Linked DNA regions of Arabidopsis thaliana. The protein of the gene in region 2 purifies or fractionates together with the protein of the main gene of each other region. This does not show direct contact. Each region holds a gene or a part of one and is shown on either strand. Other genes may lie near its edges.

Region 1 (15,841 bases), 580 kb from region 2:
AAAATAGTCCAGTATATTCAGCTTGACAACATCCACTGGAGTATTGAACACCCAACCATACTGATGTGACATCAATCGTTTCAAAAGCGCCTCGCATTGCTTCATCAGAAGCATAACCGCAGTAGTGACAGGAGTCGGTTTAGAAGCAGCACTTATAGGGTTCACCGTCTTTCCTGGACCCGTGGAACATCGCGACATTCCAAAACTCTTGACTCGAGTCAAACCACTAGCAGAAGAGCTAGTGAGAGCCACTGTTCTAGAAAGCTCAAAATTCTTCTGGAAAACTCGTATTTGTTCCAGCTCTTGTCTTAGCCTACGAATCAACTCCTTCCTATCTGATGATGATAGGCCAGATAAGGGTAATACCATTTTCGAGACACCGAAGGTTTCACCGACCTTTCTTTTTGAACAATTGGAACCCTCTGAGACCCTCGGACTATCAGATCCTTCATCATAATCTCCACCGGGTGCCTCAAAACAATAATCACCAGGGAAACCACCGTTTCTCTCTGTCATATCGACGAAATTGTGAAATAGATTCCCTTAATCTCGTGAAGAGCTCCGGATCAGTCTAATCCTGCAGGAAACGAAACATCTCGTATGACGGATTTGCTTCAGAAAGCTAATCTCCGAAGACTCTTATGACTCTAAATCAGATAATCTCGATCCGATAGTAGATAGATGATTCAAAACCCTAATTTAAGCGATTCAAATCTGAACTCGTCCTGCAATGAAGACTTCGAATTGCCCGATGGAAGTAAACACCAAAATCGTGAAAAGGAAGAAACTCACCGGCTGAACTTCAGAGCAATTGAGAAAATCGATGATCCAACTGAAGCGGAAGACAGAGAATCTAAGAAGAAGCGAAACCTTAGAGGAGTAAAAACCCTAAAATGTTGATATGGAAATAGATAAAAGGCAGAATGACGAATACGACCGAGAGAAGTAGAGAGATAAATATCTGTTGATCTCTTCACTGTCTGATTCCACACTTAACGGTGAATCGGTTAACGAGTTTCGGTACGGGAACACTCAGGAACAATCAATAAACACCGTCGGATTTTAATCGAACAGATCTAGTGACTAGTGTAGTGAGACACCAATAGATATTTTAGATGCGAAGATTTTTATGAGTCAACGCATTCAACGAACCGCTTGCCGTTTTTGTTCACTCTATCGGCTCGTCCTGACGTTTTTGTATCCAATGGACAAAATGCTCAATTTCGTTATTCATTTTTTTTGGAAATGATAAATTCTAAATTTCTAAAACAGAGATAAAACATTACAGAGGGAGTTGGGGAAGAACAAGAAGGTTCATTCATGTATGTACACTTTGAACAATGCGACTTAAGGCTTCATTGTTGTAAGAAAAAAAGGACAATCATATGCTGAAACATTTGCGTGTCAAGCGGCAGATAACGCTCCTAGTACCCTTATCTACCTGCAATTGCAATTTGCAATGCATTAAAACTTTGAAATCATCAACTTCTGAATTCATAAACAACAATAAACCATCTATAAGGAGATAGATTTCGGCTTTGTAGCTAGCAAGAAATCTTACAAAATCAAAATTATTTTGGAAACTTCCTAGTCATGTTTTCGAGCCGCAAAGGATCAGATCTAGACTTGTACACACAAAAACTGACCGTAGTTAAGCGACCTCAGATTGTAATGATCAAGGACACGACCAAAAATTACTCCTGCCATGTCCCACAAATTGCAGCTACAACACGAACCTGAACCAACATAGTTTTAGAAGGTCAGAAAATATTAGTTATTAAGTGAGAGAGGCAGGGGGCAGAGATACGTGCCTTTTTATTTCAAGGAAGGAGCATATGGTGCTGGGCATGGAGAGATGGCTGTATCGGGCAACTGATTTAAAAGATCAACTGTTGTCGTAAGGCATGCAACTAGTATTTTCTTCTCCAGTTGGACAAGCCGGGTTGCAACTCGCTTCCTAGGACTCAAACTAGGATCTGCCAACTGTTGATTGGGAATTCTATCAATGTCATGTCATGCAGGAAAACCAAACAAAAAAATGTGTTTGATCTGTAGCGATCACAAAGTCTAAAGACATACCAATGCATCATCTTCTTTCGGAGTAGTAGGGTAGCCAGATAACCGTCTCATGAAGTAATTAGCAAGCTGATCTAGTACTGCTCTTTCCATACAAGGGCTCATCTACAAAAGAGCTTGAGAGTTAAACCTTTACAAGTGTGTCAACAACTTTCTATGTAGCAGTAACATTGGAGGCCTCACATGTAGGGACTGAACATTTGATGCAATCAAGGAAATATCAAAGATTACTTAGAAAAAAGTTTTGCCAGGTCACTCATCCTCTACCTACCGGACAAACTGGACCTTGGGATGAAATTACTGACTGCATTTCAGAAGGATCAGACATGTAACCCAACCGCAGGTAGGGAAGCATGTCTTGAACAGCTTCTCTTTCTTTTCCCACACGAACCTGAGATGGATGCAAAACCAAAATCAGACAGAACATCTCAAAGTAGACTTGTTGCCATGGGAAAGTCATACCTGAAATACTTGTTGGGATAATTTTCCGTTCCTTTGAGCAACCATTCTCTTGTCCTGGTATTGAGGATCCTCAGTGTTCAACGCTGCCTTGAATGTGTATGACGCATAAAACATGCAAACAGTGAGGAATTACATGAACACTACACTAGTGTTTACAGTAACGCAACAAAGTTTTGTAATTACCTCAACTATTACTCTATCATAAGGGTTATCCTCATCAACAAATCCATAGTTCAGAAGCAATTTCGCATTTGGTTGTGGCCCACACCTTCAAATAAAGGAGGAAATGCAAAAGTATGAAAAATAGATCAGAATGAAAAAGCTAGCTGTAGGAAGCAATTTGGCTTACAGACGCACCAGACAACTATAGGATCCCCGGCCTTATATGGCCTATCTACCACGAGTTCAACAGCACCATCAACAGCAGTAAGCATTGCCTTGCAGTTGGAACAATAGGCCAACAAGGGAGGACCAAGAGGAACCAAAGCAAACCGACGAGCCAAACCGACATTCTGAGTACAAGAAGAAGCATAACAATCTAAATTAGAAGAAGCAACAAGCACCACCTGACTACTTGCTTAAATGATGAGCTGCAAGCTAAACTTTAGATTCAGCGATAGAGTAATAGAGGTAAGACCATATTATTATATTTTACTCTAACTATTCTTTCAAATACAGAAAGACATTCAAGTTGTGAAAAGTAAACCCCAAAAGAATGAAAATTACTTGTAAATGCACCACACATGACTGAATGGCAACAAATGCCTGTTTGAAAATCTCAAATGAAAAAGCTTCAGTTGGTATGTCAAATGGGTATTGCTGCAAAACACAAATAAAATGGTGTAAGTCCGAGGCCGATGTTTAGCATTCCATATATTAAAATGACAAGAAGAAGCCGAAATCGTAGGTAGCCAAACACCTGAAACAAAGATCCAGCCATGAACCAGACAGTGTCAAGCTCATTGTATTCTCTTTTGATCCCTTCAGCCCTCTCAAGAACTTCGGCCTGAACCATGTTAAAGAAGTTAACCACTAAGAACCCACTATACTAGTTCATCACACGTCCGGCATATACTAACGCAATACCTTGGTAGGACTACCAGTTAGGTAATCTAACTCAGCCTCTGACCACAGCAAAGGGGATTCCGCATCTAACTGACCTCTTCCTCTTTGACGATCAAGTTCTCTTATATAGGGATACCATACTGATTTCTTTCCTTGTTTCTTCTCATACATCAAATACAAAGCTAGACAAGCCAGTTCGGATAATTTGTTCGTCGTCAACAGTTCAGCTGTGTGATAAAGAGAGTTTATATGGCTTCAGACAAGAATCAAAACACCCGTAATCCCACCCTTATCTAAGAGAAATCACAAAGTCTAATCCAAATATTATAGTGCATAACTGATGAAGTAGCTTTATGGAATAGGAAACATAATAGAGAATGTCTCATACCAATAGTCTCGTTTCCCAAAACTCTTTCCAGAGTAACCACCAGAGAATCAGGAACTGAAAACGCCACATCACCCTTCTGTAAAAGACAGGTAATTAGGAAAAATTTACCATCAAAACCCGGAAATTGATACTTGGAATACCCTATGGAACTGTGTATAAGCAAATAAAACTGTTGAAATGCTAAGTCAACCACCTGAAGATCCTCACTAGCAGCAACATAATGTATAGGTTTATGCTTCTGATCATGAGCTGGTCTCTCCTTGAGAATAACCTTGCAAGGTGGCAACCCATTCTTATCCATCCAAAACTTCAAATCCTCGGAGTCATCTCCTTCCTTCTTGCTCGATACTTTGCTCTGCCTCTCGTCTTCCTTTGGTGAACCGCTCGCGACTAAAGTATCTGAGCTCGAAACGCACAAGCTTCTTAGATGAACCGATCGCGATGAAGAGATCAATTTATTGTTCCTCCACCGAGGAAGTGAAGAAACCCTAGAAAGTGGGAAAGAACGAATTGGAAGAGAGACGCATTTCGTATGGAAACATGTGATAACCCCTTCCATCGGAATTATCAATTCCAAAATTCCGATTATGTCGAAACGTAAAGATTCTCCGGCGACGATTCTGAGGATTTTGCTCCGTTCTTCTTTTGCGTTTTCTCAGATTATTTTTTTCATTGAGGATAAGAGAGGGAAATGGAGAAATCAGGTTGAAAACGAAATGGGGAAGATGCGACATAAAAAATGAGTAAAGAAATAAAAATCTACGTGGCGCTTAGCGAGAATGGGCCTGAAACTAGCCCACCACAACAAGGAGTCTATCAGATTCCCCAAACGACACGCAGTTAAAAACGAGTTTGATACGACGCCGTTGAGACTTCTCTAACCCTTGCAAATGATAAAACGCTCGCGTAAGTTAGCACGAGAGATACACGCGCAAGGGGAAAATTTTTTAAGTAAAAGGGAAATAAAAGATTTGAGGGTCCATAATGGTCTTCTCTACTTGTTGGCAATTGTGACAAAAATATGAAACTTTTTAAACCAACAAAAATGAACAAAGAAATCAAAAGTAACATTCTCAAGATTCACACTACGGTTGTCTTTGAGCCAAGTTTTGTTGGTGCTTCTCGACTTTCGCTGTTTACATGGAGAACTTCTGAGGAACAGTATCGAAATCGTCTCCAAAGTCGTACCTTTGTCTTTCCCTTCCTACCTGAAAAAAAGTAGTCAAACGGCTTAGTCAGAGAAACATGGGTTTCCAGGACAGAAGACTAATGGAATATGGTATTAAATTACCTTTCCCAAGTATAAAGGGTCACATGATAAGCTCTCATCCATGGCTAAGAGATTCTTCGACAGACCAATAGTCCTGAAATTTTTATCAAAACACATAACTTGTTTGATGCTACTACTTTCCTTTGGCAAAACAGTCATCTCCATATCAACTTGATTCCAAGTGCTAATTATGCACTCCTTATTACGAGTTTCAACATTCAAGCAATGTTTCCCAAAAAAAAACCATATCAAAACACTTAGTTCTGTAGACATACCTTTGTATAACAGAATCCATGATCTCAATCATCTCACTAGATTTGTACTGCTCAGGGTCCTCCAAGAATCTGACCATCCCGTCTTTCTGGTTGATAAGGGCATGTATCTGACCATCCTGGATCTGCAGGTTTGTAAAGAAAAAAATGATATTGTCCAACATACCAGTTAAACTAATAAAGCTAGCTTCCAAAAATCAAGTGTGGGACACAATACCATCTGAAGCACATGCATTTCCGCCTCCTTAGCATTACCAAGTTGGACCATGTTGGCTATATCTTGAAGCGACAGGGTCAAGTACTTCTGTGTCAATCTCAGAATGTTACGCTTGTAAAGGGATGACACTGCTTGCTTAACTAATCCAAGGTTCTTATCCTGAAAGAGCATTTCGCCCAAGTTATGGAAGGGGATGAATATTTAATATTGGTACAGAAACTATGGTAAATGTTTAGAGGCAATTTACCTCTTCAAATTCTGCATTCCTGGCCACAACCAATGCCTCTAGTTCACCAATCTTCCCGTCGTTGTAACAATTACCCAGTTCAATGTAAGGCTGAGAAAAGGGTGAACGATAAAATCATAAGCCTGAAAATAGATTTAGCTGGTATGGAGTACAAAACAACTGAAATCTTTGGACTGAAGTGAAAAAGGGACCAGACTCCATTCAAACATGAAAAATACAACTAATGATCGGGTTCAAACTTACTCCGGTATAGTTCTTGAAGCTCCTCTGTGCTGCTGTAGAAGCACACTTGGGGAGAGTGTTAGTAAACTGCACAAGTAAAATCAAACAAGATTATAAGAAAAACATCATAAGATTAACCAATGCTTGAAATTAAAATCAGACACAGGATGTAATTGTGAAACCAACATTTCTCAAAAACATACAGTTGATTCAGACTCGTGCAATATGCTCCCATGACCGAAAACTAGATAAACAAAGAAAGTAAAATATAAAGAACACAGCCTTACCTGCCCATTGTGAATGAGAGACACCAATATGTACTTTTTGTACGCCTCAAGAGCTATGGCATTGACTTGATGCATAGGAGCAGTCACAACCTGATACAAGTACTTAGGTTGAGTTAAAACTAAAACGAAAGTCCTTAATGTATAAAAAGCACGTAAGAAAAAATAAAAATGCCTTACATTGTAAAGAAGCTCTAATGCTTTCTGAAATCTCTTCAGTCCAATACAAATCATTCCCCTATCAAAAGTCCAGGTAATCAAGGACCAGAATAAGAAAATACTATAAAACAAACCCAACAGGGATGGATTTAATGTGTTTACACATCTATTGATCAAAGGAAAAAAACAGATAGCAATGAGGAAAAATTGCTTACCCATAATAGCTATAGAGAAAAAAGTCTCTTGGCTGGTCAATCTCCACGATATCATCACTAAGAATGGAGAAACCAGATTTGTACGATTTCGCCTGCAAACAGAGTTGAAGAACATCTGGATGCAATGCAGTCAAACGCTTGGAGGAGACCTGAAGCTTCTGAACAGCGTTTAACAGTGGCCCTACTCCTCGCAACGGATCTCCCAGTGCTATAACATGGTCTTTCAATATCTTACAAAGAGATACAACTGCAAAATCAATATAATAACATCATCCATCTCCCCAAAGAAAAAAGAAAAGAAAACACATTAAGACAAGATAAGCTCTCATTAAGTGTCAGTAAATTACATTTATAGCTCGCCAAACGAATCTGCCCAGCATCACAAGAATTGATGAACCGTGCAATTATCGGTATCTCATAAGCAGCTTTCTCCTTCGACACTGGACCACAGGTAAGAACCTCACTGTAACAATCAAACCATACAAAAAACTCAAAGATCAGAAATCGAATAACATAGACAATTCTCCTTGTTAAACTTCGACCTAATCACACACATCAAGTTCCAATAACCAAAATCATCAATCAGCCTCAAAGTATACACAAACTAGTAACAAAAACCTAATCTACCAATAGGTTAAAACTCACAGGAAATACAGGTAACCGAGAGAGTGCTTCGAGGCGTCGAGCTGGTCAAGAGTAGAGAAATTAACACCTGGTTCGGCTCGGAGCGAGTCTTGAGCTCCTCTCAAAAGATCGTGAAGTGCAGATAAATCCTCTGGACTCCCCGATAAACCTTGGATTGACGTTATCACAGCCTCCACCGAGTTCACAGCTCCGATCATCTTCGATACTAAGACGAAAACACAAAAACCCTAATCGATCGCCCTTTTTCTCCCTCTCAAAATCTTTTGCTAAACTGTTTGTTTAATTATCTCTGGATCTTCTCCATAAAAATACATGCTCTCATAATATATATACGAACCCTCCGAACGGTTAAGAGTCTAATACATTACTCTAGAATAATAAACCAATATCTAACCGGCTTTTAAACCAAATATTCCCGGTTCGAAATGTACCAGATGGTAATTGTCGGTTTAGCCAGACCAATTTCGGGGATGGCCTTTTATCATTCGTCTTTCCAGAGAAAGAACGAGATTGCGATCACAGAGTGTCAAAGCAATCTGCTTTTTCTCCTCTCAGATTCAAAGGTTCTCTTTGAAGCTTCGTAGGTGGTTATACTTTGATGGCGGATTATCATTTCGTGTATAAGGACATTGAAGGAGCGTCAACTCAATGGGATGATATCCAGCGGAAATTGGGGAATCTACCGGAGAAGGCTCCGGCTTTCAAACCTCCGGCGTATACTCCGGCGGAAGACGAGTCTTCAGCTCCTAAGGATCAGGCATGGTTTGATAAGAAGACAGAGGAGGAGCTTGAGGATCTTGAGGACGACAAAGATCTCGACGATGATCGCTTTCTCGAAGAATACAGGTTCGTAGATCGAATCGAACATTCTGATTTTTGTATTTACAATCTTAACTTTCCCTGGAGAATCCTTGCCTTGGTGGATTGTGAATTCAATTTTCTCGGATCTGTTGCCATGTAGCTAGGGAATGCAATTATCAAGCTCTGGTTTTTCTCGATTCGTTTGTGTTTTGGATATGAATGCAATTGAGGGTAGTATCTTATTTGAGATGTTGATGAATAGGCTAAACATAATTGTGCAACACACTTCATGATTCACAGGCACTAATGTGTTTTGATGCTTTCATAGGAAGAAGAGGTTGTCTGAGCTAAGAGAGGCTGCTAAAGTTAAAAGATATGGAACAGTGACTCCCATCTCGGGCTCTGATTTCGTGAGGGAGGTTACGCAAGCTTCTGCTGAAGATTGGGTTGTTGTATGTCTCTATAAAGATGGGTATGTTTTTTCAAGTATTCGTGAACTCTTGTTGAGCCATTCTTTACTACATGCTTGAAACACTATTAACTCATGTTTATTTCTTGTTGTTCTCTGATAGTGTTGCAGAATGTAGTTTGCTATTGGGTTGTCTAGACGAATTGGGTAGTAGATACCCAGCAACAAAGTTCGTTAAGATAATATCTACTGATTGTATTCCGAACTACCCTGATTGCAATCTTCCTACCTTGCTGGTGTACCACCATGGCGCCATCAAAGGAACTCATGTAGGCTTAAAGAGCTTTGGCCGTAGGTGCACCCCAGAGAGTAAGTTTGAATGAACCCTTGTTTGTCTGATGTAATCTGTGCTTATTTGTGTTTGATGATTATGTCATGTCTCATCTCTAGCCTTTGTCTGATCTGAGACCTGATGTGACCACATTGGCGATTGTATCATGCTTTGAGCAGATTGGTCTTAGGCACATGTCTAACATACTTGCAACTGATTTGGTTTTTCAGGTGTAGCCTTACTTCTGTGTCAATCAGAGCCAGTTCTTAACGATGGCAAAGGAGGAGACGATGACTCCTCGAGGGAAGCTGTGATGGCTGGAGTTCGAAGACAGTTCATAGAACGAGTGGTGAAGGACCACGAAGATAAGGATAACGATGATGGTGGTTACAATAGTGATTAGAACTTCAAAGCTTCTCTGTTTATCTCTGTTGGTTATTGCTTGTTGAGTTGGTGACTGGTAAACAAAAGTGCTGACTTCTTGTGTGATGTAATGTTTTTTAAACATTTTGTAACTTTTGTTCTTTTGAAAGAGACAGGAACTTCATGTTGTTTTTTGATATCCAGGTATCACATGCCGAATTTTAGTGCTGGATCTAAGCCTGTGAATCCATGTAAGTTTAGAATAGTCTTTGTTTTGGACAAAGTAATAATCAAATTTGGAGAATCTCAAATCAACTGAGATGTTTTAGTTTTCATTCATGTGCAACTCGAACTACTTCACAGTTCACAAATATACTGCAGATACCAAACCCAAGAACTATAAACATCCCCAACACAATAGAAGCACACTACCTTCAAAATGAAGCTCCCTTTCTCAAAACTTCTTTATATACATACATAAACAACACTAATTCTGAGTCTGAGTTCTTCCACAAATTGTCTCTCTGGTCACAAGTCGTATTCCCCTCACCCACATCTCTGCACACACCAACCCACCTTCACACACAAAATGAACCTCCTTGTTTTCCGTAGTCACTACCCGGAAAATCCCTTCCTCCTCCGCTCCATCGCCTTTCCCCTTACGGTTCTTCCTGAACCGCTGGCTCATCCCGATCTCTACTTCCTTGCACACCACAGTCCTCTTCCGTGACTTTCCCCAACTTAGTACTCCACTTGATTCCAACATTCTCAATCCTTTCCCATGCTTCTTTCCTTTCCCTCCCTTGGTGTGTTTCATCACACTGCTTCCTTCTATCACAAACCTCCGAGACAACTCATTACGGATCACCTTCTCCGCATCACCAGTCGCGAGATCCAGCAGCTTTTCCCCTCTTCCGTTCTTAGCATTGCAGTTTGCGCCACAGGAGATTAGGTATTCACACATATGTCCATGGCCCTCTCTGGCTGCAAGCATGAGCGGAGTGTAGCCATCTCCATCCGGGATGTCTAGACTGTATCCTTTTCCACTCAAAAGCTTCACTGCTTTGACGTCTCCACGCCGTGCAGCACAGTGTAAAGCATAAAACCCGCCTGCCATGTTTCTGCTGTCCTTCTCGAGAGCAAACTCGAGCATCACCTTCTCTATCACGTCACGGTTACCGTTCTGTTCAGACAGAGAGACTACCGTGTCGCCAGAGTTGTTATACAGCTTCACGTCTGCGCCTGCGTAGACTAAGACTCTAAATGCTTCAACGTGGCCATTCATGGCCGCTAGCATTGCAGCCGAAAAGCCTTCCTCATCTTGATAGTCTAGGTAGATGTCTTGAGCTTTTACAAGCGCTTTAAGCGCCTCAGCATCTCCTGCTTGAGCCCCATATAGCAAAGGCGAGAATACTGAAGCGTTGCTTGAATGTGGAACAACACCGAACCGGATCAGCTCAAGAATTACTCGCTCTAATCCAAGAGACCACTTGTTTGACTCAGCGATCGAAACAGCAGAATGACCAAACTTGTTCACTAAACCGAAATCAGCACCATCAAGGGCGAGAACCTTGACGCACTCTGGATGTTTGTGTTTTATTGAGATCAACAGGGCTGTGTTCCCTACATCATTCTTCGAGTTTATATCGCAGCCAAAGCCAACGAGTTGTTGTATGATCTCCACTGATCCGTCACGTGCAGCAATATGAATCGGTCTGAGTTCAATGCCTCGTGAAGTTTTGATAGGAGCTTCTGGATCGGCGCCACAGTCAAGGAGGACACTGACGGCTGCCTTGTTGCCACAGAGGACAGCATGGTGTAGAAGAGTCCGACCGTTGTGAAGAGCGTTTGGAGACTGGAGTTTGAGCAACAAACGCAAAATGTCGCCACTAGTTTCAAAGTATTCTACAGCACACCAGGTTAAAGGATAGGGCTCAGCCACTCCAGCTCCCACCCGAAACTCTTCTCCAGTGTTAGTATCCCATGACCATGCTCCAAGCCTCACCATGATATCTGTCTTGACGCCAGCCTGTGCATATCATTGAAAGAAAAGCTTTGATGTCTTAGATACATACTCTCTCCTTGCAGGGAACAAGTTTTCAATTTTGCAGAGCCAAAATTACCTGTAGTAGGACGCGGACAGCAGAGACTTGCCTATTGACAATGGCAGCAACAAGAGCTGTACAGTCTACATTTGTGTAAAGAGAAGGTTTCGAAGATTGAAGAAGAAGCCTATCGGTTGAATTAGCATCTACACCACACTGTAATGAAGCAAAAACATGAAGAATTATCTACTGTAAGATGGCTATTGAACAATTCTAACCGGTCACTTTTAAAACCACAAGAAATGAAGAACTTACTTTGAGCAAGGTCCCTACGACGTCCACAAAACCCCTGCAACAAGCAGTGGCGAGAGCATGCACAGCAACCTGAGGCCGAATAAGATCAGTTCCCATAAGCAGCTCAACGAACCTCGAGCGTCCGTGACAGCTCGCCCCTACTAGAGCTTCTTCACAAGCGGGCTGAGAAGCACCAGCTTTGAGTAGAATCTCAAAGACATCGAAATGACCTTCCCTTACAGCAACAGTTGTTGCAAATCCCCTGAAGAGCTTCTGGTTCACATCAGCTCCAATGTTCTGTGAGATGATATTACAGGAAAAGTCAGATCAGTGTTATAAAATTAGAAAATATTTTCTTAAGCTACTACACTGCTAAGTGCGAAGGACACCACGTGAGGTGAAAATCCAGAGGCAGAAGAAGACAAAAGAAACTGTGTATAATAGTAAAGTTGTACAATAATGCAAAGTGAATAATTGAAAATGGATCTACATGAACATTAGGGAACAACCCTGACACAGAGGAGCATGGCTTAAAAGGAAAGATGGAAGTATGCAAATATAGTATTCGTCTACTATAGATGCAGCCAATGACAAGTGACAACACCTAATGGGGCGGGGCCTCAGGTTCTGTTTCACAAACAAGTTACATGGTGTTATATCAACACTTCTTGTCGTACTAAATATTCATAAGTTCCTTTCAGGAAAACAAGAGAGAATCAAATCAAATCATTCAATTATCACTGCAAACCAATAGTGACATTTTGGCACTGTTGTGTCTCAAAATATCCCTCAACGAAGACCAATCCAAATGCACATGTTTTTTTCCCAGATCTTAGCCTAATATAACTAACGCTGTTGATTTCAAATCTAATCGCAAATCCATCATTAGCATATATGGTCTAGCAAAGGCTAATGAGAATCTCAATAAAAGTAAATCTGTGACGATGCAAGCAAAAGAAAAAGTTGTGTGACTGACTTCAAAATTGGAAAATAATCCCCGCCTGACATGCAAATTTGACTCGCTAAAAGATGTAATTTATTAGTATAACATTTTTGGCAGCTTGGAAGGATCCTAACACTCCACCAGTTAAGATTAAAGTTAGTCAACAGATTATGAATTTTTAAAAACTCTCACGGAATCCGATCCACGTTTTTTAAAAAACAAAAAATGACTAGAGCTAAGTATAGACAAGTGCTAGTAAACGCCACTGAATTAGCTCATTCTGATTAATTATCATTAGATCGAAAATTTTATTGAAATTTACCAAAATTTTACAGGAATAATTTCTTTCATAGAAAAGGCAGAGAGAAGTAATAATCAGCGTTCGTTCGAAATTTGAATTTCGAAAAAGAGGAAAAAGTAAAGTAAGCTTCAGACAGAACATATATTTGGGGTCTTTAATTCAAGAGACAAAAAGGTACCACGAATCACACCACTAAGCAGAAACGCGCAAAAACAAACGCAAAATGGAAATCACGAGGAAACCAATTCTCCATAGATTGCGTCTTCCATTAATGGAACGTAACGCAAAAGTTTCAAACAAAGCACAAAAATTAAATTACAAATATTGTTCACATCAAAAGCATTATTATTAGAAACCGATTTGCTTAATAAATAACGTCGAATTGTATAATTAATTGCACAGATTTAAATCAATGCAAATTTTGTTTATCGGTTTCAAAATCTTAAAGCAAAAAACGTTAAAGAAACGGCTAAACTCGGATTAAGAAAAATAATTACCAGTAATTCCTTCACGAGAGCTGCGTTTCCGAAATTAACGGCGAGGAATAACGCCGTTACATCGGTTTTGAATTCTTCGTACTCGACGCGGACTTCGCTGGGAGACTCATCACGGAGGACGACTTCGCTCCTCCTTGTTTTTAAGCTGACGGCGCCGACGAAATTAACGTCGACGAGTGGATCGGAGACGCAATCCGATGCCGTTTTGAAATCTCCGTCGAGGATGGCTTCTAGAAGCCGTTGTGATACCTCGGCTTCGTAATCCATCGGAACGACTTGTCTGCCGGAGAAAACCGTCATTGTCGGAGTTTTGATTCCAACGCCGCCGTAAGTCGTTGACCGAATGTTCTTAAACGTCGCCGCTTTAGAGAATATGTTTTGTCTCTTTACACAGACGCGAGGCTCGAGAGAGAAGAGAGAGACTTGAAAAGAAGTGAGCGCCAGGGAAAGAAGAAGAAGAGTGTGAGAATTTATTGAAACGGGATTTTACAGGTTTAACCGCGGTTAAAAAACCATGAATGGTTAAAATTGGTGAATTTAATGAGAATAAGTGGGTCCCATTTTTAACCGTGAGTTATGCTGATACACTGTCACAGTGTCACTGGCTTGGGTGCAATGGCATAGCTTAAATAGAAAATAATCCATATTGTTAATTGATGATACATTATTTTGGTAATAAATACCATTTTGTCTGCATATTAGTAGAACATAAATGGGGAATATATGTATTTTTATTAGTAATTAATAAAAGGTATAACATCTCACATGTTGTAACATTAAAAGAAAAAAACAACTATTTCTATAGTTATTATGATAATACACCCATTATATAATATTTCTTTTCTTTTTTCAGATTGACTTTCAATTAATGCATATTGTTCAACCTGATATGTTAGCATGCAGGTACAAAACCAAGAGGTGCTAACTCTTTTGGTCGGAACTAATTTTTCAGATGTAAGTTTTATATATTTCGTTTTAAAATTATTATTTTACCTCGAAAGGATTTGGTTGTTTATTGAATGTTGTTACTGGAGGCAAACTTAACATCGCTTCTTAGTTCTTACATGTCGTGGTCTAGCTCAGTTTGTCTCCAAGCATAGCTATGGAGGCCTTGAATAGTACCATGGTCAAAATTTGACGCTCGAATCAAAATAACCAAGAAATCGGAAAGAAAAATAGAGAAAAACAACTTTTGGGAATTAGGACGTTAGATCCTATCACATCGTAATTGTTTGGGAAGCCATATCATTTGTCAGCCTCCTCGTAGATAATTGGTGTTTTGTCCATGTATCATGATTTGGTTGATCATTCCAAATCACACCAGTAACGATATATTAAGCACCATTAAGAAAAAGATATATAGAAACAAGACTAAATTTGCTTATAAGATGGGGTGTTTTACTAAACAAGTTCATGTCAAATCTTGGTAAATATTAGTTGGGAAAGAAGACAGAAACTAGAATGATATTGGAGCTAGAAGGAAAAAGTAGATAAGATTGTTGAGAGATTGTTCTTTTTGTTAATATAGAAAAACTTATCAATACGTGTGATTATTTATTTTGTTCAGTGAGTCCATACTCTTTTGCTCACTCCTCTAGCTACAATCCTATAACTTTCCCCTGCCCAACTAATCCTGCTATGTCTCTCAGCTTACGTTCTTTGGTTAATATTTTATTTTCTTGGACATCTATCTATTTTATATTGTTGGGAAATTGTGAATAAAGATATTAATTTGGCCATATTGTTTTGGCCTTATGTTATGAATGCATCGCAGTAAATAATACATGGTGGATTTTGTTTATTTATGCGACATACCAAAGTAACCAATAGTGAGGGGTCATAAAACATACTCAGATCTTCACAATTATAACTCTCTGTATTTTTGTCGTGGACGATGTGTTTCGAGTAGAATACAGATCATAGTGAAGAAAAACGGTGGGCGATTAAATGGAAGGAGGAAGAAGTGATGTAAGTGAGATCTTTGGATGATACAAGAAAGATCAAAGTGTGGTAGAGAGAGTATTTGAAGAAGTCGGTGGAAATATGTACGTGAAGAATTATAGATATAAAATAGGATAGGACCATAACTTCGCAATCGTGCGTACGGGGAAGACGAGGACTCGTCATGAGGTTGACTCTTCATCAACCATTAACAACTCATTCGTGGAATACGTCTATGTAGATATGACTATTTTTGGTTTAGATCTATATATGTCCCATCTAATTATTTCTGAATTCACGTAAAGTCATCAACTAAGGAAATAGTGAAAAAAAATTTAGAAACAAATCCGAATTTTTTAGCCCAAGAACCTTCAACCATTGATTTTAAAGCATA
Region 2 (14,540 bases):
TCTAGTTTTTCTTTTTGCCACAGGAGTATCAGAATGAAGGAACAATCCCATATCCTGTGTTGTACATTAGCATCGTGTTGAACCCTTGCTCCTCGGCTTCGATTTCTCTCTTTGCGAACCGGCCATTGACCCGCGGTCTTATCTCTGCATATGCCTTCCTCGAAGCATACCTTATTGTCTTCTCAAATTTCCTTGTCTTCCTCTTCTCTCTGTATCTCAGGACCCTGGCTTCTCTGTCCATTGGACTGAGTTGTGTTACTGTTATCATCTGGCTTGCAGGGTCAGGTTGTTGCTCTACTGTCCCTTTGGGCGTTCTTGGGTGTGAAGCTGTTGTGACACATGCTGTTGACTCCGGCACAACACCAGTTTCCATGGATGAAATGTATGCCTAATGACAGAAACAAAGACATTCTCAATCCCCCTGGTAAGAGGACTAAAGAGAGTCGATGCAAAAGGAAGCATATATTGTTTTTATTATAGACTTCTGGTGAAATTTCTATGTGCTATAGATCAACTGTTGGCAGTGGATCAGTGGATTTGTGTGTATGATGAAAGAATTCACCCTGCTGCGTTATGGGAAGATGCTAAATTGAAGGGGTAACAAATATACAAAAGCCTTACGTTATGGTTAATGGAACCATTGTCGTTGTAGTGAGTCCCTGAGGAGCCATATTTGATATTGAACTGAAAATTCTGTTGGTTATGGCACTGGTGGCCCCTTGATTCTTCAAGTTTAAGCGGAACAACTCTATCTCCCCCGTAGCTCGTCTGTGGTACGCTGCAGTTTTGTTGGTGTTGACTGTATTCACCTGTGAATTTGTAGTCCATACTCGAGTTGTAATCCACAAGGTTTAGATACTCATCACTAAACAATAACCCATTGTTTTGGTTATTGTTATTTTTGTCTGAATTAGGGAACAGCCACGAAGCAACCTCCTTGGCATCCTTATCACCTTCTTCACCTTCCTCTTGATCCACCACCAGTCTCTTCTCTGGATCGGTCATTGTTTTCTCGCTTTGGTGGTGAGTAGTGGTCATGGAGCTGAAAGAGTTTCCAGAAATTGGTAGAATTGGAACTCGCTGATGGCGTCTAGCAAGTGGGTTTGCAGAATGAACCTCTGAATCACAGGCTGTGCATAGAGAGGCATCATCTGCCTCACACAAAAAAGCAGCCGGAGCACGCTCACATGACTCGCAGACCCGGACACGTTTATGGCGGGAAGCAACGCGATTGGCAGAGTGAACTTGAGCATCACAGCTCATGCACAAGTAGGCAGAATCTGCATGGCAATACACGGTGCAGGCGTTTGACCGGCATGTGTCACAGGGTCGTGCCCTGTTGTTCTCTCCACTACCTATGTCGTTACTCTCTTGTTTCAACATAATAACTCAGATGTAGTAAGTTTGATGGTGTGGGAGCTGGTATCTGAAAGAAGGGGCTAATAAAGCTTATATCTGGTGTGAGAGAATAAGTAGAGGGGAGATCGAATCCTGAGTGCCTACACGTGGCACAGCGTTAGTGGCTCTTACATGTTATTGGATCCTCTTGCAGCTAGTTGAGCTTTTGGGAAGGCCTATGTGTAAAGTGTAAAGTGTAAAGTGTAAAGTGTAAACATCTCCTCCTATGCACTTCTTCGTTGGGACCCGTTCACAAGTTGCTTAGGTTTTGCCACTTGCCATACTGAGATTCTCAAGAGGAAGTGGTCCGGATAATGCCATGGTGTTGCAGGCAAATTGTTACTATTTTTTCGTATCACCTTTTACTATTTTCATATGCATTTTATTTAAAGTAAAGCTAGATTCGTTTTATCTCTTTGGCTTTATACAAAGTTTAAGTGGTTGAATATTCATCCTGAACCTTGTGATTACTGTTCAGGTATCTCTCCGAGTAAGGCTTCGAGTGTCAGAGCCATCACCAACTGTTATGGGTTGACTACCTATACAAAGGTTAGACAAACTCGTGAATATGGTATAGTTGTTGTTCCATTATTTGTGAATGCATCTGCATCATTTAGAAAGATTTGCAATTGAAACTTTCGAAGGATTTTCTGATGAAAAGTGTTATAATGTTTAATCTGGTTCATAAAGTCATGGTAATGAGAATCATATCGGAAAAGTGACATGAAAAACATAGAGACGGTGGATTTTCTAGGATCAAACTCGAATCCGCCAAGTAGTCTTGAGACTACAAATTAGAATTTACCTGACGCACAAGTTAAAACTTAAAAGGCATTTTGGAGTCCACATGAGCAATAATTAGATTTATCATATATAGTATGTAGAAATTTGCACTTGGTAACCATTATAGTAAGTAGTTACAAAACATGACTCATGAGTGTTGTCACATCTCTGTAATTTGGGTTTATGATGATACTCTATACTATTTATTGTAGCTTTATTAGATCTCAACCTGTGGAAGTAATCTAATACAAACGACACTTGTATGGAATTTTCAGGACATGTTTCTAAGATCACAGAGGTAATTGTGAAGTTTTCTGCTACACTCATTTACTAGTCCACATGATCCATAGATGCAATTTAACCATCTTCACTCTATTTGGTGACCCATTCATGTGTTTAGCATCGTGGGTTTTCCTGTACTAATAACCATTAGTACTTGGAGTTGCCTTGTTGGTGTTATGCTCATAATGTTTACTATGTGGAAGCTACAGGATACGATACTCTCTAGGTTTGAGGACTAGCTCCAGTTACGCTTTTGGGTCCAGTGAATGTATGATACCCATTATGTGGTCCAAAAAGAATGAGATTTGACGGACGCTCTAGTGGCCAAATTCATATGGCTACCTTCACTCTATGCCTTAAGAGCTGAAAAGTGAGTGTTTTTTTTTTGTATAAAATGCTGGTCCTAGGATACACTTTTCGCATCTCTTCCTCTTTCATATTTGCTTACACCGCACTTCTCTTTCCCATTTTGAACTTTAAACTTTGAAAAGTTTTTTTTTGCTTGGTAATTGGAACTTAACATACAAGTTCTTGTTATTTACTGGTTTTACGATGAATGTAATGGCATTTAGAATTGTTATGAAATGGTTATATGATCATTGAATTCTAAAGAAAAGATTCTAGGTTCTTTAGTAAGCATTTTTGGAGATCTTTATCCTGCCAAGTTGGATAAGTTGAGGCATCTTTGGCTTTTAGTGCTTTGGTGATGAAATTTTTTGGAGATTGTAACGTGGTTCGAGTTCATGAAGAGTAAATTGTGTATTGGCCTTTTCACTTGTAGCTCAAGAAAAAAGTAGTTTTGCTTATTATTGCTCGTTGACAGTCTCTAATTAAGTTTATTGTTGTAGCGGTTTGGAACTTCTCTCACATGTGTAGGCCTTCGGATAACTGTTACGAGTAATAGATCATATGTAACAATATCCTCAAAGTTGCATCGAGATTTTCAAGAAAACACTATTGCTTATTTGTTTTCATTCTTTATCAGGTTTCCGTGGTTTCGAATACTTTGCTTCTTTCAGATTAACGAAAACCCTATTTAGTTGCAAAGACTGAGAAGAGAATAAGAGTCGAGGGACCATATAAAGCTTGTAATTGTACGTTTATGCGGATTCTCCACTTTCCATGGCTGTGAGAAACTATCTGAGGAAAAGTGCAGTGACCTTTGGCAAAAGGTAATCACTTTTATGCACTTTCACGTGCTAGCTCGAATCCACACCAAATAGTAACATTCTATTGGCTCTGAAACTCATAGTGCTCCAAGTGGTTGTCATTGCATTTTAAAAATTCCTGACAAGAAATTTAGTAGAAACTTTGCTACTTCAAGTTTCCTTCTTTATGATATGCTAGCTCGTATTATATGCAACATGGGATATCTTTGTTTTGCTTGTGTGGCTTATAAGTTTATGTTGCATGATCAAAACAGATCACTGAATAAATTTTCTGGTGGTCTGAGAACTCGCTGCAGTGAATGAATGAGATCCATGTAAGTGGCCCCAAAAGAACATAATTTACAACACTCTGGTAGGTAAATTCATGTGGATACTAAAACTGACTCATTTATGGCTAAAAAGTATTGATTTGGTACATGAATTCATCAGCTTAACCGTTGAAGTGGGAAGCTATCCTAGTGGTAAATAAGTTGATCTCTGGCCCTTTCCAGGTGGCAAAAAGTGAAGGCTTTACAGTGTCACCCTTTTTCTTTTGGTTGCGTCGTTATTCTTTAGTGCCAGTATATACCTTGGAAAAAGTGAGCTATTATTCTAAAAGATAGACCAAGAAATAGATTTCTCACACTGAATATCTTTGTTCATTTGGATGGTCCATAGGCATTGACATATTCTGCTAGTAGTGGTTGTGAGTGATAGAATCTTGTTATCCGAGACAACCTCGTGGGAATGGATTTAGCACCAATGCTAATCACTAATCAGTACAAGAATATGCGTTGATGTAATTGTACCTATTAGCATTGTTCACTCAGGATTCTTGGTTATTTGTTACCTGACTATTCAGTGTGTGATTTTATTGGAGTTTTACATGTTTACACTTGTCTCTGTAATCTACTTTTGGTATAAAATCATATTGAGTACAACTTTCTTTTCTCAGGGATGTGCGAAATTGTCTTTGGGGCGGCATAAGTGGAATCATTTATCTTCTACGTGATAAAGTGATGTGGAAAGTGTCACCAAGAAAGGAATCATTAACTTTGAACTTAGGCAAGGTGAGTTACGTGTTGACTGTTCTTGGTACAGCTAGCTATACTAATGCATATCTCTTTGTAGCATCAGTTTGAATTTAGACTGTAGGGCAGTATTTCATAGATAAGAGGACTTCTACCAAGTGGGCAAAATTTGTATTAACTTACAGCAGCTAAGTATGAGTGTATATCTAATTAACTCGTACTAGTTAGGCAAAACTAGTAAACTACAGACCCTATATGCATAAAACCGTGGTAATAACTTGCAGGAATTTCAAACCAGAAGTAATTTACAAGCATGCAGTCTAGTTTTGCCATAGCAGCATCAGAATGATGGAACAATTCCATATCCGGTGTCAAATGTTATCATTGTGGAGAAAGCTTGGTTTGCCTCTTCATCGACATCTTTCTTCTTTGCAAACCGGCCCTTGATCCGTGGTCTTTTCTCTGCATACGCTTTCCTTGAAGCATATCTTATCGTCTTCTCAAATTTCCTCATCTTCTTCTTCTCTCTGTATCTCAGGACTCTAGCTTCTCTGTCCCTTGGACTGAGCATCTGAGCTGGAGGGTAAGGTGGTTGGTCTGTTACCGCTTTGGGCGATCTTGGGTTTGATACTGTTGCGTCACTCGTTGTTGACTCCGGCACAACTCCCAGGTCCATAGATGAAACATTCACCTAATGACAGTAACAAAGACATTCTTAGAAATTTACTTCATGGATTTGTGTGAAAGAAGCAGCATGCTGGTCATAGTAACGGATCTGAATTAAATATATGAAAGCTTACCATATGACTGAGGGAACCATTGGAGCTTCGAAGAGCTCCCCAGGAGCCACAGTTGATACTCAGCTGAAAGTTCTGTTGCTCTTGGTACATGCCCTTTGATACTTCAATTTGAAGTGGAACAACTCCATCTTCCCCATAGCTCCTCTGAGGTACGTTGCAGTCTAGTTGATACTGATTGGATTGATCTGTGAATTGCTTATCACTCGAACTATAATCAACAAGGTTCAGAAACTCATCCCCAATCGAGAAGCCATTGTTGTTACCACTGTTTTTCCCTGAATTAGGCAACAACCATGAAGCCGCCTCTGCTTCATCTTCATCCTCTTCTTCTTGACCAAGCACAAGTCTGTTCTCTGGATCTGTCACTGTTGTCTCACATGAATGGTTAGTGGCCGTGGAACTGTAAGAGTACTCAGAAATGGGCAGAATTGGAACTCGTTGATGGCGTCTAGCAAGTGGGTTTGCGGAATGAATCTCTGAATCACAGGTTGTGCATAGAGATGCAGCATCTGCCTTGCAGAAAAAGGCAGCCGGGGCTCGCTCACATGATTGACAGACTCGAACACGTTCATGGCGGGAAGCAAGACGATTGGCAGCATGAACTTGAGCATCACAACTGGAGCACAAGTAGGCAGAATCAGCCCGGCAGTACACGGTGCAGGCGGCTGATCGGCATGTATCACAGGCTTGTGCCCAGTTACTCTCTACTTTCAACATACTAACCGCAGATGTTGTAGTTGTTTGATGGTGAGTGAGATCGTATGTAAAGGCAGCAGGGGACTAAGAAGGCTATATTAGTTGTTGAATGGAAATGGAAAGGAAGGATAGAATTCTGAGGGCTGGACACGTGGCGAGAAGTTTGTGGGTTTGATGTTGAGTGATCATCTTGTGGCTGGCTGAGTTTTTGAGAAGGGGTCCAGTGCAGAGATGCTTACAGCTTTGGAATCATCAACCAGCACGAAATGTGAAAGAAAGAAAAAAACTAATTGTCTTCTTATATCTTTGCAATGGCACCAATAGTTACTACTTTTTCTCTCTTTCTTCCTCAATAAGTGTAAACACCTCTTCCTATGTAATCTTCTATAGGACCCATCCACATGTTACCTAGGTTCTGAAACGTGCAACTTCTAACTATTTTTGTATCATCTACTACTATTTTGGTAAAGCTGGAAACTTTAGTAGCTCTTTGGCTTGACCATTAGCCTAATGTTTATCTTGATTCTTAACTTTTGCCATGTTCTAACTGTTCAGGTTTCTCTCATCGTCTCATGATTTCAATTATAAAAATTAAATGATCACTGTTTAGCATTGTTAAAAAGATTATGACTCTTAACCATTTGTTATCTTCGAATGATGCTAGGTGTCTTTTTTGGTGATATGTTGGAGATAATAGATATGGCATGTCCTAACTTTGTTTCCTTCCACATCAAGTCGGTCAAGCTGATTTGGCCAACGGTGGAGATCCAAGGAGCCAATTGGAATCTGCCAAGTCGCTACGAGTCTCTAGAGATTAGGAGCCACAAGTTGAAGCAAATGGTGGGTCCAAATTAAGGTGAATAACGATAGTTATATCAACATCACCTGTGGTCTGTTTATACAAGTCCAATTTGCTTATGATCACCATCATATTTCATAGTTACAAAACATGTATAAGTCTATCAAGTGTTTGTCACATCTCAATCACCTTTTTGAGAATATGATAAAACTCGATATTATCTTTACTAGCTTTTATTAGATTTCAAACTTGTGGAAGTAATCATATTCATGTGTTCAAATCTACATGGGTCAAATAAATTTGGTGGAGCAACAAAGTTTGTTTTTATTTACATGATGTTCTACTGATGCAATTAAAAACACAGCAACTAACAAAGGTAAAAACTGAGGATCAACAAACAAAGCTTGTTTTCCTTTCTTGGCAGTCAGAAAGGGCTAATCTCACGAGCCAGTTTCAGTAACAACTCTGGTACAAGACGCTTTCTGGGAGGAGCCAACGAGTCTTTGGTCAGCCCATCATTGTCCTCCGCATGTATCACAGAGACTATGTCATCAAAGAGTTCGTCTTTACCTCCTCGTAAGGGATCCTATAAACAATACTCTCATGAGTTTTATTGTACTCACACTGAGCTAAGTGTTTGTGTGTGTGACACAATGTAAGGTAAGTTGACTGATTTATGTGGCTTACCTGAAGAAATAAGTCAGTATGTGTCTTTCCGCTGTATAAAACAAGCTCGGCTTTTGCTCCAACAGCTTGCAGAGCGTCTGTAAAAGTTTTGCTGCAAACGAGGTGGTTTTAGTATCCCAAAAGGTTTCATCAGTAATGTATCACTTCAAGAAGATGATCATATATACCTTTCATCGCATGGTATGGAATAATCTGAGGATCCGTGGAAAAGTATAATAGGAGGTAAAAGAGAAGCAGCTTTTCCAACAACTGGGTCTTTCAGTCTTACTTCCGGAGAGAATTTCTCAAAGGACTCTTCTCCTTCCATTATGCTGCAAGTTGGAGTTGAACATTAGATCTGATCAGACTGCGTTTAGGATTTGGTTAACCAAGCATTTACCTTAGGAAAATCGAGCGATACAGACCCCGATTATGGAAGTGATCAACCAACTTGTATAGATTGTACCTATTGAAGTTCAAAATGATAAGCAGATCAATTGCTGTAGACCAAAAAGCACATAGAAGCCAACGGGAATCCAAAAGCTTAGAAGATACCCTCCAGATAATCCAAAATAAGCTTTTATCTGGGACACTGTCCAGGAGATGCTCTCTCCTTTTAATTCTTTAGTAGCTTGTTCCAATAGAGCACAAGCGGCTATATGGGCACCAGCTGATTGCCCCATCAGGTAGATCCTAGAGAGACAAGCAGATACATGCAGTTTAATAGCCGAGAGACCAATTGGAAGATCAAATGGTAAATAAAAACAAAGCCAATGAGATGAAACCTGTTGGGGTCACCTCCAAATGCAGAGATGTTATTGCAGACAAATGAGATTCCTTGAGAAGCATCAGTCACCATATCACTAATTGTTCCCTGAGGAAAGTTCCTATACCATAAAGAACGGATTGCTTGGTAAATGCATGAAAGTTCTTCCTATATTCATAAAAGACGACTAGTTTTTTGAATTGTGTAATTTGTTTACCTGTAGTCAAGGCATGCTACAATGATATCTCTTTCTGCTAGCTGCATTCCCAAGAGCGAGCCCCAAGCTTTGTACCTAAATATCAGTACAAGATTAGCAAACATGAACTTATTAACAAGCAACCAGCTAGTACAAGAAGATGAAACTTGAGTGAGTCAGTGAGATAAGAATACAGAGCCCATCATGATCTTTACTTTTTTCTTTTTGTAACTCAAACATCAACAAAAGAACAGTGAAGGGGAAAACTTCTATAAGTGGGACACGAGAAATTGTAAAACAAACAAATTTCAACATTATGCAGAAGAGAATGCTGTAAATCTGATGTGCAACCCACCCAATAATCCAAGCTCCACCCGTCACAAAAACCACAACCGGCTTCAAGCCATCGTTGTTGCTTGGCAAGTACAGATCCAGCCTATCAAATCACCGTTCATACATCAATAATCTCAAGACAAAGGTGATGTGATAAAAGCAGGCATTCAACATACCACTTAAGGCCGATGTGAAAGGAGAAGGTAAGATTCTATTCAGTTCACACACAAACCTGTTCCTTGGTTGATCTCCATACACTATACTCCTCCGGACTTGCTTTGAGAAAAAATAACTATATGCAACTGCACAAGATAATACAAACTTGAGACGAGGAATCAAAGACTAATTTTCCAATTAAAACAACATCTTAATCAAAAGGAAAAATCCTTTCTATGAATTTATTTATCAGCAAAGAAAAAAAAAAAAAAATCAAACCTTGAAGAAAGCCAGGCATAAGAAGCATAGCATAACATGTAAGGGCAAGTAATTTTGTCATCCATCGATAGCCTACCCTGAACAAAACTTAACAATTAGATCAATCCTTGCTCAACTGGAAATATAAAAAGAAGAAGTTAAACAAGAGCAAAACAACAGCACATGGAGTAACTTTCATAATTAGAGTAAAGTTCCAAAATAAAAGACAGAGAACTTTTATATATCATTGGATTCTTTGCAGAGCAAGGCAAAGCCAGCTAATATCTACACGAATTACCTCCCTAAGCGTAATCATCAATATACCTAAATCCAAAAACAGGGACAATCGAGATCAGTACCCGAGGTATCGAAGAAGCTTGAAGCTAAGTCCAGTAATTAGATACGTTTCAGCTGCCGCGTGGCCGATATCGCGACCGAACGATTGCTGCCGGAAAATCCGACGAGGTCCTTCGTCAACCGGCGACTTCCCGGAAACTCGACGACGTAACGGTTCACCGTTAAGAAGAGTCGTTCTATCGGAGTCCTCATCGGGTAGAACTTCCTCGATCTCCGATACCGTCGAGGTCATCGGCCAGCATCGCTGCTCCGGCTGCTGAGTCTGAAGAGGCGAATGCATCTTTTCCGCCGTGAAATAGTGGATCTCGAATTCCAAGATTCTTCGTGTTGCTCTTCTCTTTTGAATTTCAAACTCTTTTTGTTATCTTCGCTTTTGTGCGCTTTCCATTTCCTTCTACACGAGGAATGTAGTAAAGTAGTGTGTAGATATAACCAAAAGTTTGTACAAGACGACGACGTTCTTAGCTCTTATTGATGACGTTTGATCATGTAATGATGTGTGATTAAAGAGAATCAAATGTCAGACAGTAATGAAATTATTCGCAAAATATTGATTATTCTAAAATGTTTGTTAGTCATTTCATTTGTGATTGGATGGAGTAGTGTGACGACTTTGGAAGCTAGTATTAGCAAATCATGGGCTTTACCACGTTCGGAAAATGCTAAAACTCGTGGGCCCAAAGTGTGACGAATATTTCCGAATCTAAGAGAAAGTTCACGAATCACGATCCACCAACCACTACAACCATACCACTGGTTTTATTTTATACGAGCATCACAGACAGACGTATTCGATACTTCGATATTACCAGTGACCAAAACAAAACAAATCTATATTTGGGTAAACAAAAGATAAACCGGAGTGGAGCCGAGCCACCTTATCCAAACTTGCAGCCACGTCTATTCCATCATTTCATCAGAAACAAAATCCACACAAAAAACATATTTTCTTGAAACGAAAAAAAAAACTTATTACTCGATGATCATGAAGCACTAGCTTATCCACAAAAAAACCAACTTGATCCCAACTAAAAATAGGAAAAGACTTTGTTTTGGTCATCGACTATTATATATAGAGTCCAATCACAATCTATCTTGTTCAGATTTTGTTTGTGGCCATATTCTTTGATCTCTTTTTTGAAATCTTCAAAAGCATTAAAAACACCATGACGTCTAGATTTGTGCTTCCATGTACTACTCTCTACGTTCTTTCGGTAACACTTATCTTATCATTATATATCCCTCTCGCATCTGCGAAACGATCATTAGAAGAAGAAGAATCAATCATATGCCCTTATAACGACAAGGGATGTCTATTATATCTGAATGAGTTTGCAATGGAACATATCAACAACCATAATGATTATGAAGCAGCCTTAGCTTCTCTGGAGAAGGAGTTTCAAGATCATGACAGAATTCACTTGATACACAAACCATACATGCACATGACTGATTCTTCCCTTTATAATACTTTAGACATATAGAATTCTGTATATATGTGGATATTCTCATAGAGAGATCATTGGTGTAATTAAGAAGAAAGGATTTGAAAAGATCATCGAATCATTTCAATTATATGAAGCTTCATTATATAAAACAAGCTAAAATTAACATTGATTAATAACAAACCAAAACGCAAACAACTTTTTATTAAAGCTTAATGACAATAATGACCAAAGGAACAATACTTCCCGCCACCGCCATGACCACCATAACCACCTTCATCGTCTTCTTCATAATCATCATCATCATCATTGTTTCTACTATGAACCCACCACAACAGATTACTTAAAGAGTTCCCATCATCAAACCCATTTAATCCTTTAATCTTCTCCATTGCTCCATCTTTGTCGTACATACTTTCCAAAGCATACACAAATCCTTTCCACCCTTCTCCGACGCTGTCTCTAGCCAAAGCAGGCATTGTCCAATTCACGAGCTGTTTCACGAATGTCACGTCCGAGAACAGAACTTCTGATACCGGAAGTAACGGTAATAACTGTATCCCAAGGCGACATTCTTTCCACTCTTTAGGCGCGAACCATAAGCCACTGTCTCTCTTTGTTGACCATAACACTCCAACCACACGATTCTCCGATGTGAAATCTTGCGGGTAAATAGCGTCGTCTTCTTTCACCTGCCACCACATTTTCGCCGCGTGAATCTCCAGCGTCAGAACCATCGAAGCAGCCGCCACCAAATGTGTATCCCCATAAGCTAGCCCCAACAAAGCAGCGGAGTAATACGCATTGACAGCCTCGCTTGTACTCTCTTGATTCCTCCCGTCAGCGAACTCCGTTAACCCTCCAGCCCAAGAATGAAGCTTGAAAAGATCAAAGCATCTCAAACGCGGGTAATTCGAATTCGACTTGGCTCCTTTCTTCCCCAACGTCAAGTAATCCGCCATTAAAGTATACGCTTGAGGTCTGTATCTCTTCCCCCATAAAGGATCAATCTTTGCAAGCACAGCAATCGCATAAACAAAGTAACCTAAATGATAATGATGATCATTGTAAATCCCAAACCCAAAATCTGCTCCTGAATCTCTAGATCCTAGCTTAGTAATCACACCTCCCCATTTTGGATCATACAAGAAACCATTTGGTCCGAAACTTCCATTAAGCCACGGCTCGATCATGTTCTTCAAGTAAGTTCTAATCTTTGGAATAACATCCAGATAACAAACTTCTTCAGCTATTAAAGCTAACCTCGCCGCCCTCGCGATCAATTTCGCGTAGAAATACGAAGAGTTGGTGACCTCAGCTGATGAATCTAAAGCGTTAACGTCTTTGATTAGAGCAGAGATGATCTCTTGGTGAGAATCTTCTTGAACTCCTTTGATAGAGTGCCACGTAACAGAAACAGGGTCTGGTTTTAAAACCCATGAATCTCCGATGACACCTACTAAATCACCGTCGATGCTGTTGTATTTGAAATTGTCTAGAACTGTGATAGAACAATCGTTGGTTGATAAAAGCTTGAGATGAAGAGGATGAGCTAGCATTAGAAGATCTCCATAGCCTCGTTTCTCCCATTTATACTCTAAAGCAAACGGCTTTGTGAAATCAGCGTCACCGGAAACTGGGTAAGAGCAACTGAATCCGTCGAGGATTGTTTCGAAATACGGATTTGGATTTGGTAACACGACGATCCGGATAATACCCGAAAACCCATCACCGCAATTGATTGAAGAAACGCCGTCTTTGGTTAGATTGATCGGAGAAGAGGCGTAGATTAGCCATGTTTGGTTGTTGTTGAGTTTGACGGTGTACTTTGTTGAAGAGGTGTTACCGGAAAGTGATAAAACAGCGTGGATCGTTGAGATTGTGATGGAGGAGTTAACGGAGAAGGTGATGAAAGGGCTTCCTCTAACGAGGAAGAATCTGAGATTAGAGGAGGGGAAATCGAGAGTGACGCCGAGATCGCTGAAGGAAGAGATGAGATGAGATTTACGAGAATGCGGGTCGGGTCCATCTGACCCGGTTATGGTTATGTCGGCGTTGAAAGCTTCGTAGATGAAAGCAGAGTTGTGGGAGAGAGATGGGTAGGAGATGGAGAGAGATGAAGTCGAGGGTTTGATGATGTAAGGATGAAAGTACTCAGCTTGGTCGCCATTGTTGAGAGTGAAGTTTTGGAAGAAAGAGTTTGTAGGGAGAGGAGATGAGAGGAGATCGTGGCTGAAGAAACGAGACGGGTCGGGTAGAACAGAGGAATCGGATCTTGGGAAGAGAAACGGAGTGTTTTTTTGTCTTGAGGAAGACATTTGTTGAGACGGTGGTGGAGATGGTGAAGGAGGAAGAGGAAGAGGTGGTGGTGGTGATGGAGGTCTGTTCTTGGGCTTTTTAAAGGGTTTGGTGATTAAGACTTTGACTTTTCGCCTCACTTTTTTCAACATTTTGCTTAGTCAAGAGGAGAAGAGATAACGACGGATTTGGAAATTGGGTTCACAAAAAGCAAAATTGTGGGGTTTGTTTGGTTAGAAAGAAAAATGATAGGGAAATTTTGTAAATATATAATAAAAGATGGTTTACAAGTTAAGGTTTTGGGAACGTGCAGGAGACTTGCTAGATGCTAAAACGTAGACAAGATATTGGTATATGCCCAAATTAAAAATGTAAATTAACGGTACGAATATGGTTGGATAACAATAATTCTCTAAGGTTATTTGTATTCTTGCAACAAAATATTTGGTTAAACAACTTAGTTCGTAATTCGTATGTGACTTTGTGTGATTGAGTATTACATGTTTGGTTTGGATTGGTTATTTGAAAAAATTCCAAATTTGTTGGATAGGTTTGGAAAATGCTTGAGGTCTTTGTGACTTGATGTTGTTTTGCTTAGAGAAGGAGGAAGAGGGTTGATTGCAAGCAATGTAAATTGCAAACACGCGGTAATGCATATTACATTTCTTAAGGCTCATATTAAATAGGCATAGGACAGGATATTTTTTTTATTTCTTTTACCATTTTAAGTCATTTTATAATGCTGCTTTCAATGCATATATGACAACTTTATGTTTTGCTTAGTATAAGAATTAATTTGTAAAATTTTGATTTGGTCGAGATTTGAGCATAGTCCCATAAACTATTTTTGTTTAATAGACAAGGCCTTATCTTAAGGCCCATATATAAGACGGATACTAGAAAGTAAAAGCCATTTTGAGTGTTAACCGGACCAACAAGAGAATTCAACTAACATAACCGAATCGTGCCGGTTCAACCACCAACCGCTTCGGTTTAGCTCTGCCATCGTCCCGCGAGTCACATCAAAGAGACGGAGACGGAGAAGGAGAAGAAGAAGAGATATGGCCGGACTTCTAGCTTGGGCTGCCGATGTCGTCGGTAAAAATGGAAAAGAAGGAGACGATGAGA

What was found.
Region 1: the proteins of COL1 (region 2) and COP13 purify together in Arabidopsis thaliana (affinity purification with western blotting, with the first as the bait; one study listed by BioGRID). This does not show direct contact.

The regions. Positions count from the first base shown.
Region 1 is NC_003076.8:4,589,848-4,605,688, reverse strand, and holds COP13 (Proteasome component (PCI) domain protein), read right to left. Parts: upstream 7,822-15,841; 5' UTR 7,720-7,821; coding exon 7,523-7,719; intron 7,341-7,522; coding exon 7,225-7,340; intron 7,125-7,224; coding exon 6,878-7,124; intron 6,742-6,877; coding exon 6,684-6,741; intron 6,597-6,683; coding exon 6,507-6,596; intron 6,307-6,506; coding exon 6,241-6,306; intron 6,088-6,240; coding exon 5,998-6,087; intron 5,910-5,997; coding exon 5,751-5,909; coding exon of another isoform or gene 5,703-5,750; exon of another isoform or gene 5,659-5,702; coding exon 5,537-5,658; intron 5,356-5,536; coding exon 5,283-5,355; intron 5,200-5,282; coding exon 5,128-5,199; 3' UTR 4,854-5,127; downstream 1-4,853. Other genes in the region: BET9 (bromodomain and extraterminal domain protein 9), read right to left, coding at 1-516; AT5G14275 (uncharacterized protein), read left to right, coding at 682-900; AT5G14260 (Rubisco methyltransferase family protein), read right to left, coding at 1,816-1,983, 2,080-2,181, 2,348-2,467, 2,539-2,625, 2,722-2,806, 2,896-3,050, 3,265-3,357, 3,458-3,544 and 3 more; AT5G14240 (Thioredoxin superfamily protein), read left to right, coding at 8,121-8,368, 8,652-8,795, 8,896-9,101, 9,294-9,466; AT5G14230 (ankyrin), read right to left, coding at 9,914-11,455, 11,550-11,687, 11,787-12,062, 13,507-13,806. UniProt on the Arabidopsis thaliana protein: Component of the COP9 signalosome complex (CSN), a complex involved in various cellular and developmental processes such as photomorphogenesis and auxin and jasmonate responses.
Region 2 is NC_003076.8:5,171,315-5,185,854, forward strand, and holds COL1 (CONSTANS-like 1), read right to left. Parts: upstream 6,584-14,540; 5' UTR 6,160-6,583; coding exon 5,443-6,159; exon of another isoform or gene 5,334-5,442; coding exon 4,983-5,333; 3' UTR 4,777-4,982; downstream 1-4,776. Other genes in the region: AT5G15843 (uncharacterized protein), read left to right, coding at 24-382, 481-597, 915-1,068; CO (B-box type zinc finger protein with CCT domain-containing protein), read right to left, coding at 29-388, 622-1,383; AT5G15853 (uncharacterized protein), read left to right, coding at 6,793-6,993; PCME (prenylcysteine methylesterase), read right to left, coding at 7,362-7,523, 7,625-7,715, 7,792-7,935, 8,004-8,069, 8,159-8,296, 8,389-8,490, 8,587-8,661, 8,921-9,001 and 3 more; AT5G15870 (glycosyl hydrolase family 81 protein), read right to left, coding at 11,327-13,564; AT5G15880 (golgin family A protein), read left to right, coding at 14,474-14,540. UniProt on the Arabidopsis thaliana protein: Putative transcription factor that may be involved in the light input to the circadian clock but does not affect flowering time.